Linked DNA regions of Notamacropus eugenii. The protein of the gene in region 2 binds, or shares a complex with, the protein of the main gene of each other region. Links are inferred from orthologs where the notes say so. Each region holds a gene or a part of one and is shown on either strand. Other genes may lie near its edges.

Evidence for each region. Proteins that work in one complex are often made in the same cells at the same time.
Region 1: RBBP7 (region 2) and BPTF share a complex: the UniProt entries of both Homo sapiens proteins name them as parts of the BPFT-SMARCA1 complex. The link is inferred for Notamacropus eugenii from reciprocal best matches to the Homo sapiens genes RBBP7 and BPTF.

Annotation. Positions count from the first base shown.
Region 1 is NC_092873.1:328,043,977-328,052,017, forward strand, and holds the start of BPTF (nucleosome-remodeling factor subunit BPTF), read right to left. Parts: upstream 3,275-8,041; 5' UTR 3,135-3,274; coding exon 2,435-3,134; intron 2,320-2,434; exon of another isoform or gene 2,053-2,319; intron 1-2,052. UniProt on the Homo sapiens protein: Regulatory subunit of the ATP-dependent NURF-1 and NURF-5 ISWI chromatin remodeling complexes, which form ordered nucleosome arrays on chromatin and facilitate access to DNA during DNA-templated processes such as DNA replication, transcription, and repair.
Region 2 is NC_092876.1:372,854,624-372,862,921, forward strand, and holds the start of RBBP7 (histone-binding protein RBBP7), read left to right. Parts: upstream 1-4,529; 5' UTR 4,530-4,865; coding exon 4,866-4,881; intron 4,882-6,030; coding exon 6,031-6,175; intron 6,176-8,298. UniProt on the Homo sapiens protein: Core histone-binding subunit that may target chromatin remodeling factors, histone acetyltransferases and histone deacetylases to their histone substrates in a manner that is regulated by nucleosomal DNA.

The DNA.
Region 1 (8,041 bases), on a different chromosome or scaffold from region 2:
CCATTCAGCACAAAATTGACATGCAATTACTCCTCCTTTGTAAGTGAAATCATTTTAAAAGCTCAAAACACAAAATACATCATTTTAAAACATTACTTAGAAATAATCTTCCTGAAATTCCAAGCCTTAAAAACCAGATACCATGTCCCAAAAAGTAAGAAAAAAACCTTTAGGAAGTAATATAGCAATTGTGCTATTTCAAACCATCTACTCCTCAAACTTTATATTAAAAACTAAAATATTAGTATTTGTAAACAAGTTTTCAAATTCAAAACATATACCTTACAGAGTTATGGTACCCACTGTAAAATGATAAAAACTTTTCTATTAAACAGACTGAACTACCAGTCTGTACCAAGTACAGACTTTTTAACTACTACCATATGAAAAGGCACATAATAAACCCACCAGTTTAAGACAAAGTTAAAGTGGATGATGACATTTTAAATTAATTAAAGGGAGTAGATATAACTCCTCTTTACTTAGCCTTCAAAAACAGGAGTTCAAGCAAGCTAAAACTGCCTTGCCAAAATGTCTCAACTCTAACTTTAAAAAACTTTCTCCAAAGGAGTGTTATTCAGTCTGCAAGGAGGACTGGAACCTTTCAGTCTGGCTCATTCAGTTGTGTGATCCTTAACAGAAAAAGACTCAAGAGAGAAGAGGAAGAGAAGAAGGGAGAGGGAAGGGGGGGGAGGAGAGAGAAAAAGAGGGGGGAAGGAAGAAGAGGGAGAGGGAGAAGGGGGAGAGGGGGGGAAAGGAGAAAGAGAGAGAGAAAGGGGAGAAAGGGGGGAGAAGGAGAGAAAGTACAAGAGCTGTGATTTCTTAAGGTGAATGCTCTTAGTGGCATACCAACTGACAAAATTGAAATTTGCACACATCACTAATATCTTCAAGAGATAAATGCTTAATGTTACTTTTTCATTTCAGTAAAAGAACAAAAAGAAAAAAATGAACATTTTCTTGCTTTCAGACACGAAATGGCATCTTTAACCCAATCAATGAGTTTCTTTAGAGGCAAAAGAATAGAAATGGATTAGTTAGATGAATTCAATACAAGTTGAAAAATAAAAATTTAAGTATTTCATACTACTTGAACATTTTATCTATAAATACTGATAAAAAATAAAAGGCATCATATTCTTGTAAATTAGAAATATGTTCTTATGAAAATTCACTTGGGGGGTGGAAAGGAGTCTTTAAAAAAGATGCTAATTGATCCCAATCGCCAAAATTACTGAAGAAAAACAGGACAGGCTGCCATTAAAAGCCTTAAATACATTTTTCCACAACTGAGTAAACTGCATCTATCTTGTTTAGCACAAAGCTTCAATCGTGATTTTTAACCAAATGCATTTCAGTACCGGTCTGAAGAAACTTCCTTGAGAAAACAGGAGAGTATGAGTTACCATGGAGGAGCCTCTTACCCACCAAGGCTGAACTTTCAAACTCAATCATCTAAGGTGAAAAAAATCTACACTGTAATAAATCCTCCAGTTCTTTTTTGAAATTGATCCAAAAGTTGATCTTCAAAATTTACTTTCAACGATCAACTCCATCTTCTGCAACAGGTGACATGAAACTCTACTCCCCAAGGAACATGGGGGTGCTTCTAAGAAGGAAACTGCTTACATGAGACTGAGGGAGACAAATATTGTCATCTGGGATTTTACAAAACTGAATTTTAACCAAATGTACTCTTTTAGTCGGATTTTTTTTTAAAGCAGCCACCTAAGGGCAACTGTTGCATGTGCCCGTGAACACACAAAGAATGAAAACAAACACACGTATGGCTAATTAAGGTTTCCCCCAACAACACAAGTGGTGGAGCTAATTCCTTGAGACAATTGCAAAACCACACAAAGCAAGAAATGTGAAAAGAAAAGAAGCACGAGTAGAAGCAACATTATGTACATGTTTACACCCTAAACAACTCCCTCCGTAGGATCCCTGCTAAGAGAGGAGACTCAGCCACTAAAGAGAATTCACATTAAGCCATGCAAAGTGGCTCGCTACACAAGAGGATTCTTCACCTTAAAAAAAAAAAAGGAAGGCGATGGCTACGTGCATGGCCGTCTCAATCCTGCCTGGAGGAAAGGCTGCACTAGCTCCAGTTTTGGGGGTGGGGGGAAAGTGGGGGAGAGGGAGAGAGAGAGTGTGGCCTGCCAACTGCAACAATGCAATCTCCATTTTGAACAATGCACCTCTTTCCTCTGGTAAATCTAGTTTTTTGCCACTTGATGTGCGATTGCATTTCCCCTCTCTTTGGGGGTGAGATGGGGGGTGCCGCTACAGCAGGATGCACCGTGCAGGACGGACACGGTGAGTGTGTGTGTGTGTGTGTGTCTTCGGGGTGGAGGGGTGAGGGGTGGATGGAGCAGGGGGAGAAGGTGGAGGGTGGAAGGCTAGCCCCGAGGCGGCCGGGCTGGGTGGGTACCTGGGGTGCTGCTGTAGGTGCTGTGGCTCCTGAAGCTGCTCTCGGTGCAATAGCTGGCATCGTCGTCGTCTTCCATTTCCTCGGGATAATCGGAGTCGTCGTCGTCGTCGTCCTCCTCCATAATATCTTCCTCCTCCTCGTCCTCCTCGGAGTCCTGCGTCTCCTCGGGGTCCCCCTCCTCCTCCTCCTCTTCCTCGGAGACCATGTCCTCGTCCTCGTCCTCCTCCTCGCTCTCGTGGTCATCGTACACCACTTTGCTGATGCTCCTCCTGGACGGGGTGGCCCGGGCCAGGTGGCCTCCGCTGCCGCCGCCGCCGCCGCCGCCGCCGCCCCCGCCTCCAGCTCTGCCTCCCCCGCCTCCTCTCCCCCCCCGGCCCGGGGCGCCGGCGCTGGGGCTGCTGCTGGGGGGGGCGGCCGGCGGCGGCGGCGGCGGCGGCGGCGGCGGTGGCGGAGGCTTCCTCCGGCTACCGCCGCCCCCCCTGGGGGAGCTCAGCCGCGCCTTGGGCGCCACCTCTGCCTGGGCGGCGGCCCACCTGCCCCGGCTGCTGCCTCGGTGCCGGGAGCGGAGCCCCCCGATGGGCCCGGCCGGAGGCGGCGGTGGCGGCGGCGGCGGCGGCGGCGGCGGCGGGGGAGCCGGGGCGCCGCGCTCCGCAGCGCCTGCCGCGGGCTGCTTGGGCGGCCTGCCCCGCCTGCCCCTCATGTCGGAGCCGAGGAGGGAGGGAGGGAGAAGGGAAAGCCGAGGGGGGGAGGGGGACCGGCCGAGAGGCGGCGGTGGGGAGCCGCTGGGGGCGGGGTGGGGAGCCCCGCGGGGTCGGGGCGGGGGGGGCCCGGCCGGCGGAAGCGGGTGGAGGGAGAAGGCTCAATCCGAATTGCCGGCGCCCCGCTCCCGATCGCCTCCAGCCGCCATCTTGTTTCTTCCCTCTCGCTCGGTGACTGGGGGAACCGACAGCGGCAGCAGGCCTGGAGCGCGGTCACGTGAACGCCCCCGCCGACGAGGCCGAGGCCGACGCAACGCAGCCTCCTCTAGGGGGAGCGCGGGAGCCTGCAGCCCGGCCCGGCCAGCTGGCGGGGGCGCGCAGAGGGGGGAGCCCGGGAAGCTTGGGGCCCGGGGCGCTGGGGGCCCTGAAGGACCGGAACGGGGGGCGGCGAGGGGTGAACTAGGTATTTTAAATGAGCCCTACCCCTCTTGGTGACGAAGACCCAGCCAGGGAGAGACTATCGGGACTATTACAGTCCTTACCTCTCCACCCATTCCTCCCCCCCCCCCAGTAGCTGAAAAACCCGAGAAAAGGGAAAACCCCCAAATTAAAGTGGTGGAGAGACCCCTCCCAACAAAACTGGAGCCAAACTAGATTTGCAGGCGCGATGCTGAGCAGTGCTGCATGGGGACCGGGGGAGGAAGTAGGAAGGGGGGGAGGAGCAAGCATTTCAGCCGGAGCGAGACACTGAGGCCGGGCACTGGGCAGCACCAGAGACAGAGACCCTGGGAGGGAGTGCCTGCGGGCGGCAGAGAGGACTCGCGAGCACTCGGGGAGCGCTGGGTCCTGGAAAATCCTGCCTCCGAACCCTAACCACGACACCTCTGAGGGTTCAGGAACCCCGCCCCTGCTCTTCCAGAGTAGCATTAAAGGCGACTCCAGAAGTGAGGACTGTACTGGAGAGGCACCAGCCCCGCCGCCCCGGCTCTGGGGTTTGACAGCTTCGGTCCGAAAGTGCCTCCCCACGCAGCCGGCACGCGCGGTGGCAATAACCCGCATTGATCCTCTTCCACTTCCCCATGCACCTAGACACGCAGAAGTGAAGTGCTCCTAAACTTCAGACAAACTTCCCAGTGCCACCCTTGCCCGGCTGTTTACTCCCAACGTTTGAGGCTTTCATTTTTAAAGACGACCACCTGTTAATTTCATTTTTAATTGGGTATATTTAGGATTTAATGTAGCATTGTATCTTAATTACAATACAATGGTGTTCTATGCCACTACAAGTCATTGGTAGGCCGCTGAGGTTCATAAGGAGGACTGGACCCTTTCTAAAGTAGTGGGACAAATCTTCCTCTATGTACACCTCGCACCCTCGTGGATCTGTGGCAAGGATATGCAAGCTACCCACATACACATACCTACACTATTCTGTGAGTTGGGCCAGTGAACGATACTGAGGAAACACCCTAACCTCTATGAACAGTAGAGCAAAGGATGATTGGGAGGAGGGAAAAGATCGAACTTCCCTATAGGTTTCTCCCAGAGTCCTGGCCTCCGTACACTTCTGACTACCTTTTAAATTGCAAGTGCCCCTGGTGGCATTCCGATGTTCAATTTTCTAAGCTAACATCTGAATTATCTGCTAAGGATTAGCTAACATTCAGCTGAGGAAGCAACAATGGGATACAGGAAAGGTACACAGAAGCAAAAAGGCGCTGATTTTTAAAGCTCAAACTTTACCGCTTTCACAATTAATGTTGTTTAACCCTTAAGGCCCTGATCATGCCACTCAAAACTTACCTGCATGTCACCTTCGACATGCTGGAACCACCATCATTACTACTGATAATAAATCAACTGACTCACACTTGCCATGTTGCTGTCACTGTGCTAGGTGCTGGGGATTGTTTCAAAAATGGAAATAATCCCTACTTTCAAGGAGCTTGTATATTAATGGAGGAGATCGTATATGTTATACCTCCTCTGGGCCCTCAAGTCTGCGGCTGGGATCACCAAAGTGGTGACTGTTACCTCTGGCTTTTGGGGTTTTTTATTTGTATAACCCAACGAGTGGCTACTCCTACTATTGTTGCTCATGAAGCCTGACCAGTGTGTTTTCTCTTATCAGCCGCAGCAAAAACAGTTGATACAAAATATTCTTTCAGAAAAAAAACCTGGAACACTTTCTCCAACAAATACACAGTCTCAAGTGATAGGCACATATTTAAAGAATACTAATGAGGTATTCAAATAGGGAATTCTCACAGCTAAGGCAACTTATAACTGTGGAACTGCAGGGACTTAATGTCATTTCTCTATCAAGTCCTCACAAAGCTCATTGTGGGTGAGATATTCATGAAGGCTGGGATTCTCTGATGCTAGTATAAACTGGCTTCCCTCAGAGCGTATCATCTCTGATGGATGAGTGACTGATTTGGTCTTGCTTGTCACAGAGAAAATTGTCTAAAAAACTAAAAATGAAAGTCTATGGGTTTTGAAGAGTAAACTAACCCCTCCTGTAGCTGCTAATGAGTATGTGGAAAAATTGTTTGGTTAAAAATCTGAATGGACCTGTAACTCCCCCAAATCCAGATTATGAGCTTCTCACCAGTCCCTGATATCACTCCTTGATAGGCAGCTGTGTCTTCACCATGTCCAGCCTTATACTTGTCTGGAATGTACACTATACTCTTTCAGAAAAGACAGAGGCCTTTACCCTTAGATTAGCAGAAACTCCAATTCTGTTCCTTCAGGACATTGGCTCTGAGGTTTTCACCTCTCAGGCAGAAGGTAGAAGAGTTATGGCCAGCGGTAAGTGATAGCCAGCTCATACTAAGCTGATTATCACATTTTCAATAGGAGCATTTATACCTCAAAAATCAGCACATGATTTTTTGATTATCTAAACTTGAGAAAGTGATAGGAATAAAACCATTATTAATGGAGATTAAACTTATGTATGGAGCATCCACCCTCACCCACCCCACGCCCCTTGCCAAGAGCTAGTTGTTAAACATTTTTACCAGTACAATGCTGGGTATAGCTTTTCCTTTTAGCCACTTTTCCCAGTTCAGGGCTGGGATCTTTCACTGAGGGACCTCATCCTAATTTACAGTGACCAATCAGTTGTTTGTTCAATCATGTTTGACTCTGCATGACCCCATGTCCACAGAAATTCCTTAGCAAAGATACTGGAGTGGTTTTTCATTTCCTTCTCTGGTATGTCCCCATTTTACAGATGAGGAACTGAAGCAAATAGGGTTAAGCGACTTGCCTAGAACCACATAACTAGTAAGTGTGTGAGGTCACATTTGAACTTAGAAAGATGAGTCTTCCTATCTCCACATCCAGCACTCCATCCACTTCACCACTCAACTACCCTGGCCAACTAGTATTTTTCCCAAAATTCCATTTCTGCAGGTTAGGTCATTATCAGCCTATAACCACGTAGCAAATAATCACCAAAAGGTCTGAGGTTTGGGGTGTCCCAGTTTGGGGGGGGGGTTGTTTTATTTTGTTTTTATCTCTAGTTTCCTCCTATTAGTCCTTGGAATGAATGGCTGAGGAAAAGGTACTGAGTTAGATAATTTCTGCCCTGGCAGCAAGTTCATTTTGTTTGCTGGTTGTTCAGATGCTTCCTAACTTTTTCATATACAAAGGAGAAGTTCAAAGGCCTTTAAGACACATTTTCAGTTGTATGAGACTCTTTGTGACCCCGTTTGGGGTTTTCTTGGCAAAGATTTCCTTCTCCAGCTCATTTTACAGATGAAGAAACTGAGATAAACAGGGTTAAATGACTTCCCTGTGTGGCAGGGTCACAGAACTAGTGTCTAAGCACTGATTTGAACTCAGGAAGATGAGTCTTCCTGAATCCAGGCCCATCTCTCAATCCACTAAACCACCTACCTGCCCATTGAGACAGGTCGGATGATTCTATCATATTTGAAAGACCCTTATTCAGATCTCATGTCAATCAATCAGTATTTATTAAGTGCCTACTTTATTAAGTGCCTGGGGAATCTAAGAAGGGGCAAAAGACAGTCCCTGTCTGTTATACATGTGTGGTTTTTTCTTTGCAGAAATATTTCAAATGCTTCTTTTATTGAATATCTATGTTTTTTCATTGATATTAGGCTTAGATTTTTAGGGTACATCCTTTTGGGTTGCATATTGAGCTCCTTTGCCTTTTCTTCCATTCTCTTCTATGATTTTTGGTGGGTGAAAATATTCTTATGTTATTCTAATCTCCTTTCCTTTACATCTTAAGGTTTTTATTCTGATTACTTCTTTGTCACCAAAATTGCTAAATTTAACCACTGTGTGTTTTGGAGTGTGAAACATAAGTTATTTTGTTTTCATGGAGTTCATCTATGAATTCTTTCAATTAGCTCTTTGTTATTCATATTCAAAAGTTCTAGGAAATTTTCTTATATTATTCTTAGCATTATGGTGTTCAGGCTTTTTGATTTGTCATGTTATTTGTTGGCTTATGATCCTTACGTTGTCTCTGGATCCTGTCTTTGAGAATAATATGTTTTGCTCATATAGATAGCTTGCATTATTTTAACATTTTTGCTTTTTTCTTCTTCCAGATAATCCTTCACTTCAATATATTTATATTCCTAATCTATTGTCTTTTTCACTTCTTTGGACAGACTCACTCCCATGAACTCAAGTTTTTCTCTTCTGCTAATTATTTCTGCTGTGTAAGCCATACATTTTGCCATTTGTTCCTGCCTAACTTCTCTCAAGATTCTGATTTCTCTCTTGCCATTAAGGAACCAACATCCATGCTCCTGGTAATCCACAGAATTTTGTGTTTAATCAGGCGTTGTTTTAGTTTCCTTTTCTAGCAAGATTATTTAGGGATAGTTGCAATCTTTTAGATGTTTTGGTACTCATATTC
Region 2 (8,298 bases):
TTTGATGAAATGATATAAAAAATATTAAAAGGTGAGAAAGAGAATTGCATTGGGAGAAGAAGGAAGAGGCAGAATGGGGTAAATTACATCACACAAAGAGGCACAAAAAACCTATTACAGTGGAAGGAAAGAAGAGAGGTGGGGTAAAACACTGCTTGAATTTTACTCTCATTGGATCTAGCTCAAAGAGGGAGTAGCATACACACTGAGTTGTGTATAGAAATCTATCTTACCCTACAGGGAAGTAGGAGGGGAGTAGGACAAGAAAAGGAGATAGAGCTAATAGAAGGGAGGGCAGATTGAAGGAAGAGGTTGTTAGAAGCAAAACACTGGTGTGGAAGGACAGAATGAAAATGGAGACAGAAAAGTATAAACAAGGAAAAAACAGGATGGAGGGAAATACACAGTTAGTAATCATAACTGTGAATGTGAATAGGATGAAGTCACCCATAAAATGGAAGCAGATAGAGTGGATTAAAACCTAGAATCCTACAATATGTTGTTTACAAAAAACACATTTGAACCAGAGACACACACAGAAAGTAAAAGTAAAAGACTGACTGAAGCAGAATATATTCTGCTTCAGCTAAAGTAAAAAGAAAGCAGGGGTAGCAATCATGATCTCAGACAAAGCAAAAGCAAAAATAGATCTAATCTTGTTAAATGAAGCAATATCAATACTTAACATATATGCACCAAATGGTATAGCATCCAAATTTCTAAAGAAGATGTTAAATGAGTCATGGGAAGAAACAGAAAGCAAAATGATACTAGGGTGAGACTTCAACCTCCCCCTTTCAAAACTAGATAAATCTAACCACAAAATAAGAAGTTAAGGAGATGAATAGAATTTTAGAAAAGTTAGATATGATAGACCTCTGGAGAAAATTGGGGATAGAAAGGAACATGCTTTTTTCTTAGCATTACATGGCACCTATACAAATTTGACCATAGGGCATAATTACCCTGCAAACAAATGCAGAAAGACAGAAATATTAAATTCATCCTTTCCAAATTACGATGTAATAAAAATTACATTTAATAAAGGGCCATAGGAAGATAGGCTAAAAACTAATTGGAAACTAAATAATCTAATCCTAAAGAATGAGTGGGTCAAACAACAAATTAAAGAAACAATCTAATTTCATCAAAGAGAATGACAATGAGACAACACACCGTAGTTTATGAGATGCAACCAAAGCAGTACTTAAGGGAAATTTTATATCTCTAAATGTTTATATCAATAAAGCAGAGAAAGGGCGGATCAATGAACTGGGCATGCAACTAAAAAAAGCTTTAAAAAGAACAAATTTAAAATGCCCAATCAAATATCAAGTTGGAAATCCTGAAAAATCAAGAGATAGGTTAATAAAACTGAAAGAAAACCACTGAACTAATAAATAAAACTGAGCTGTTTTTGTGGGGAGGAAAACCCAATAAAATAGATAAACCACTGGTTAATATGATTTAAAAAAAAGAAATAAGAAAACCAAATTACCAGTATCAAAAATGAAAAGGATAAATTCACCACCAATGAAGAGGAAATTAAAGCAATAATTAAAAGCGATTTTGCCCAATTATATGCCAATAAATCTGATGGACTAAGTGAAATTGATGAATATTTACAAAAACATAAGCTGACTAGATTAACAGAAGAGGAAACAGAATACTTAAATAACCCCATTTAAGAAAAAGAAATTGAACAAGCCAACAATGAGCTCTCCAAGAAAAAAATCCCCAGGGCCAGACGGATACAAGTGAATTCTACCAAACATTTAAAGAACAATTCCAAAACTATAGAAACTATTCGGGGAAATAGGCAAAGAAGGAGTCCTACCAAATTCTTTTTATGGCACAAATATTCTGCTGACACCTAAACCAGGAAGAGCCACAACAGAGAAAGAAAACTATCGACCAATTTCTCTAATGAATGTTGACGTGATTACAGCTATCTATCACCAGGATCATACACTATAACCAGGTGGGATTAATAACAGGGATTCAGGGATGGTTCAATATTAGTTAAACTATCAGTGTATCTTAAGCTTACCTGTCCGTGTACATGTTGTTTCCCTCAATAGAATGTATGCTCTTTAAGGACAGGGACAATGTCATTTTTTTTCCATCCCTAAAATACCAGCACACAACCTGGCACATAGAAGCCTTTTACGAAATATTTATTAAATTGAATTAAGGAGAAGTCAAAGCATTTTGTAAACTTTAAGGCACAGGATTATTACTATTATTATAATACTTCTCTTGCCAGCGAAAGGTCATACACCCTGTACTATGGAAAGAACAATAACCCTAGGTTTTCACAAATAGCAAGTCTGTTTTCACATATTTATAAACTGGAAGAGACCTTAAGAGATCATCTAATTCAACCCCCTCATTGTATAAATAAATACACTCCTTAACTTGCCCACAAGTAGTAAGTTACAGTGCTGAGTAGCTTGAATCCGAGTCCAGTGCTCTCTTTGCTACAGTAAGTTGTCTTTAACTCTCCATAGCTTTTGTCAATTAATACCAAGGCCGTCCTTCCCCACATCAAGTCTAAGGTAGCATGGCATCGTCAAATAATCACTGAGTTGGAAAACAGGAAAATTAGGAAAACTAAACCTCTCACTCTATTTAAACAATTGCCCATATGTCATTTCATTTCCTTGTCTTAGTGACATCACTTGTAAAATAGAGATTAACAATATCTTTCCTATTTCATTTGAAGATCAAATGAGGTTGTACAATGAAAGCACTTTAAAAATATTAAGTGTGATTCAAGCAAGGCATTACTATTATTATTTCCTCTACTCCTTATGTATTTTCACAGTGGGGCCCTTTCTCACAGGAGTATATAGAGCCTACAGTTTTCAACCCCCGGTTAGCCTTCTCAGTATTGAGGTATCCCCGCACCATCATTCCCTTCTCAGGTCTCTCACTTCCCCTGTGTGGAGCCTACAGTGTCCACTTCCTCCATACCCAGATCCAGCCAACCTCCTCCTCTATCAGTCTTTTCTTCAGGGCCAGGAGGGGTTAATGCCTATTTGACCAGGGCCAAAGAATGAAGTGGCCCCATGGGCACTATGCCTTGGTTCTTCTGAGAAAGGCAGTGCTTCCCCTGAAAGAGGGGAGGCAAAGTTAAGCAAAGGATGCCACAGCATGCACAGCCCTGATTTTGTAAGAGGAACACAAAGTCCAGTCCAGAAGGGTGGAATTACAGCTCCAAGGGCCCAGACTGGCATCTAGGCAAACCCTATCATTTTATACATGAAGACTAAAGGAATGGACCCTCCAAGGCTGCACAGAAGCAGTTCCTCTTGTTTCTTCCATTGCACCATTTCGAGGCCTTTTAGGGTCTGTGAACTTAAAAAATAATAACTATTTTGATAGAACTGTAACCCTATGTATTTTATTTTACGTCTTTAAGACATTAATCTGAGAAGAGGTCCAGAGGCTTCACCACACAGCCAATGGGGACCATGACACAAAGTAGTTCCAGAACTTTTGAATCAGACAAAATAACAAAAATTCCATTTGGAGGAATGAACTGTCTAGAAGAGTTCTTCACCTGAGGCCTGTGGACGTAAATAAAAAAGCTGATAAGTGAATTTCAACAGAATTGGTTTTCTTTGCATTTTATACTTAAGTTGATGCCTTTTTTTGCTAAGAACGACTTTTAGAAGGACATTTCTGCCCATTTTATGACCCGGTCTAAGCACCCTGAGCGGGCTCCAGCCGGCACAGAAGCAGGCGGATTTCCCCTCCTCCTCAGCGGCGCCTCCGCTGTCATGGGGTCCCAAATGAACGGGGCCCCCCATTCCGGCGAGGGCGGTCCGACCATCCAGGGAGGGGCAGCTCTTCCGCCAGCCCACAGGCTCCCGGAGACGCATGGGAGGGGGCGCCTCCACTTTAAAGCGCTTTGATCCGCCGGCTCCGAGGACCTCCAAGCTGGAAGGGCGGGCGTTCCAGGGATCTCCAGATGCGACGAACGCGCGCTCCTGGGGAAGCCGGCCGGCGGCGAGCGCACGCAGAGCACCGCCCACCCCCACCTTTTCACCTGCGCGCTGCAGGGGACAACCTCATTGCGCGGGGAGTTCCTTCAAGGGCGCTTGCGAAGGTCAAGGGTCTTTCCTCTAGCAACACAGGACACGATTATGGATTTCGCAAGACTCGAGAACCGCAGCTTCCTGGCGGCCGCTCCCCAACACGCAGTCATTTCCCCGGTTAGTGCAATACTACTAGGACTTCCACGCCACGTGCAAAATCTCCTCTATAACTAGGGGAGGGGAAAAGGAAGGCAGGACTGGCCAGGTGCGCGCCAGCTCCCGCCCGCGGATCCCGAGTATTCCCCGCCTCTCTCTCCCAGTCTCTCAGTTTCTCTCTCCTTCCCCCCGCCCCCGCAGCAGTACACCCTACAGTGCGCACGCGCGCCTAGGCGCCGCCTGTCATTGGTTGCGGCGGAGGCGCCGTTTGCTCTCTGACCCTCCTTGGCCGCCTTCTCCTCTCCTGTCCCGCCCTCTAGGGACTCGTAGTGCGCATGCGCCTTTGCGACCGGAGCGGGCTGGTAGGCGCGGGTTGAAAGTCTCGTTCCAAGTTTGGAAAGAGAGAGGGAAGAGGTCGGGGTCCGAGCAGCCACGGCTGCGGGGGAAGCAGCGCTGCACGGCCTGACTCCGGAGGACGGGGGGAAGGGGGGGAGGGGGTTAGAAAGCAAGTGGCGGAGGCGTCCGGGGCTCCGGGTTGTGGGCGCTGGGTGACGCGGCGGAGACTGTCTGCGCCCCGGCGGGCTAGCGTCGCGCGGCCAGAGCGGGGGAGATCGAGACGGCGCCCGAGGGGCCTGGCGGCCGGCGGGGCGCACTGCCCGACACAAGATGGCGAATAAAGAGAGTAAGAGGGGAACGGGGGGTTACGGGGAAGAGGTTGCTCCTGGAGGGGTTCGCGCTCCGTGCGTGCGCGGGTCGTGGAAGGAAGCCAGGGCGGGGGGGGGCGCCCGGGGTGTCAGCCCCAGAAAGGCGCGAACAAGGCTCTGGGCGGCGGGGACAGCTTGGGGGAGGCGAGGGCGGGGACGCGGCCCGGAGGTCCCTGGGCACTTCCGGGGGGCTGGGAAACAGGCGAGACAAGTGCTTTTTCTTTCTCCGTGCCCTTGGTCCTGCGGCAGTTTCAGCACCATCCTTGAGACCAGGGTGCCCGGGCTCCCGGCTACCCCAGGTTTCGGGTGCGGCCGCGAGGCCCAACCAAACTGCCCTAGTTTTCGTTTTGTTCTTCGCAGGTTGGCAAAGGGGGAGAGGCATAGCTTTAAAAATTAAATTTGATTTTTAAAAATGATGAATACGGTTTTTTCCCCTCTCTCCCGCTACTTTCCATTGGAAAAAAAACGATTGTAACAAATACGTATGGTCAAAGGGCACGTCTGTTGAGTTGGTGTAGTGCGTGGAGGGCTGGAGATGTCATTTCTATTTTGGAGGAGCCATCCACCGAAATCTGGATTCCTATTTTCCTGTCAGATTGCCGCCTTCCCCTCCACAGACTCTGCTGTGTAATTGAAAGGGCATCTTGCAGTACTAGGTTCTGGAGACTCATGGTGGAATGGCAGATGTCAGCTGTGCCTAAACTTGAATTCCCAAGAAATAATTACTTACATAATGGCCAAACTGTATTTGCAAAATATTGGCTTGTTTTTTGCAGTAAATAAATGACTAGATATTAAGGCTGCCAGGAAAGTCTTTGTGGTTATACTCTTTAATAGTTGTGCAGAACCGGAAGGGCCAAAATATGACAGATGTGGTAGGTTTTAAAAAGTTCAAAACATTTGTCTAATAGAATCATATTAGCCCTGACTAAAGATATCCTTCACTACGTATTTGTTAAGTATCTCCCTTACATTGTGCTGAGTGCCAGGGATAACAGTGGCAGCAAACAAGGTTTCTGCCCTCAAGGAGCTCATATTCTAACCATATATGCCTATTCTCAAAACTTGAGCTTCTTTGAAGTTCCTAGACTAGTTAAGCATATTAATTAGTGTTCTCTTACTTTCAGTGTTTGAAGATACGGTGGAGGAGCGGGTTATCAATGAAGAATATAAAATCTGGAAAAAGAATACCCCATTTTTATATGACTTGGTTATGACACATGCCCTCGAATGGCCCAGCCTTACTGTTCAGTGGCTTCCTGATGTAACTAGGTAACTAAAATTTAAACAATTCAGTAATATTACTTTTACAAACAGTAAAATTACTTTCACAGAACAGATATTGGGATGAGGGGAAGGGGGAGACTTGGGGGATTGTAAATTTCTACTTCCAAATATTTGCATATATTTTGTTTTTAAAATAGGGGTTAAGACGTTTAACCATAATTTTAGAATCAATTAGAATTATTGCTGGAATGTATGGTTTCTTTGTATCATAAAGGACAAACTCTAAGGTTGGATATAGCTAAAGTAAGTCAAATGTGAGGTATTGGGTATTATTTCAAGATGAATATAATTTTATGAACGAAATAGAGACTGTAAATAAGGATGCCTTTGCAGGAAATATTGCTTAAGCAATATCTCAAAACTACAGGTGAGTACTTTTTGCTATAGGGAGAAAAGGACAAAGGTTTGGGGTAGAAGTAAGGAAGAGAGGTTGCTACAGAGTAACTTTTGGAAATAATTTAGTGCTGAGTATTTTAAAATATAATTTTTAGTTTCCTCTTAAGTGTATATGATTTTTTTCAGCAAATTGTAGTGTAAACTGAAATAATGTAAGAAAAAAATTATGTTTTAGGTATGCAGCCAAAATAATTAAAATTAGACTAAGGGGACTAATGTATTATTTAATCCGATTAATTTTTACTTTGTTTAATTTTTTTGTTGATTAAGATGTGAACATAATATAAAGCTCATTTTCTTTATAGGTTGTGGTGCTTTCTTATACCCTACCCACACATGTTGGCTTTAGAAAATGTGGAATACTCTTGTGCTTGTATGTGTTGTACAAATACATGAGCAAAGTTAAGTTGATTCAGAGGAAAGAACTAAGTAACATGGTATTTTAACATTGGATTATAATGAGTAGATTATTGATTTCAGATTCTGGGTTGGTTCATTCTACATATGAAAATTCGGATCTTCTTAATTGTCTTTCAGTTAAATGCTAGTAGTTTATGACATTCTTTATCAAATAACCTGCTATTTCCCCTCTTGAGTTTGTTTTCCTCATTTCTTGTTTAAGAATTGTGGAAGAAATAGCATGAAAGTGCCCCTGGTTTCTTCGTTTTCCATATTTAAATAGTGAACACCTACAGGGAGTTTAGGCAGTATGTTTGGATGAAAGACATCTAAATGTAGTCAAACCTCACATATCCATTCCCTAAGAAAATAACGTGAGTAATAATAGACAACATTTATATAACATATACTATGTGCCAGGTACTGTGCGCAACAGTTTACAATTATACAAATTTATAATTTTATTTATAATTGTATAATTTACAATTATACAAATTTAACTATATATTCTCTCATTAGATCCTCACTACAACTCTGAAAGGTAAGTGCTATTATTATCCCCATTTTAAATTTGAGGAAACTGAGGCAAACATATGTTAAATGATTTTTCCCAGGGTCACAAAGCTATTAAGTGAGGCCAGATTTGGATTCAGGTCTTCCTGACTCTAGGCCCAGAGCTCTATCCTCTTCACCACCTAGTAGATAAATGAGTTGCTATATTAGCATTTTGGAACCTACTAGAAAATTGTTTTGCTAGTGCTGTTCCTTGTTTTCCCCTACAGACAAATTGACAAGCCAGCAAAAATCTGCTTGCTGGTAGCAAAGAGAATGTTGAGGTTATTGCTGATCAGGTCTCTCTATACTTTTCAGATAATAAAGGAAATGACTGGATGGATTGGGAGATAACATTATGGGAACTATTTATTTCCCACTGCCGCCCCCCCCCCCCCCATTCTTCCCATATTGCTGCATAATACTAGAGATTAATAATATCACACCTTTTTTCCTAGCCCAAAGGCCTCTAGTTAATTTGTAAGTAATGTTAGAAACCGTAGCTTTCTAAAAATACCCCCACTAGTTTCTAGGCATGGTTAAATAAATAACTGAGAAATGTTCTTTTTCAGTTTTGCAAGGTTCAGTTCCTAGTATATATGGGTGTATAAGTATAAAAATAATTAGCATTAATATATAAAACCTTAATTTTTTCCTACAGACTCTTGTTGCTATTGAATACCTCCATAAACTTCGAAGATTATTACTGAGAATCCAAAATAGTTTGCTGTTACTTTCAACCCATTTTAGAACAGTTCTTT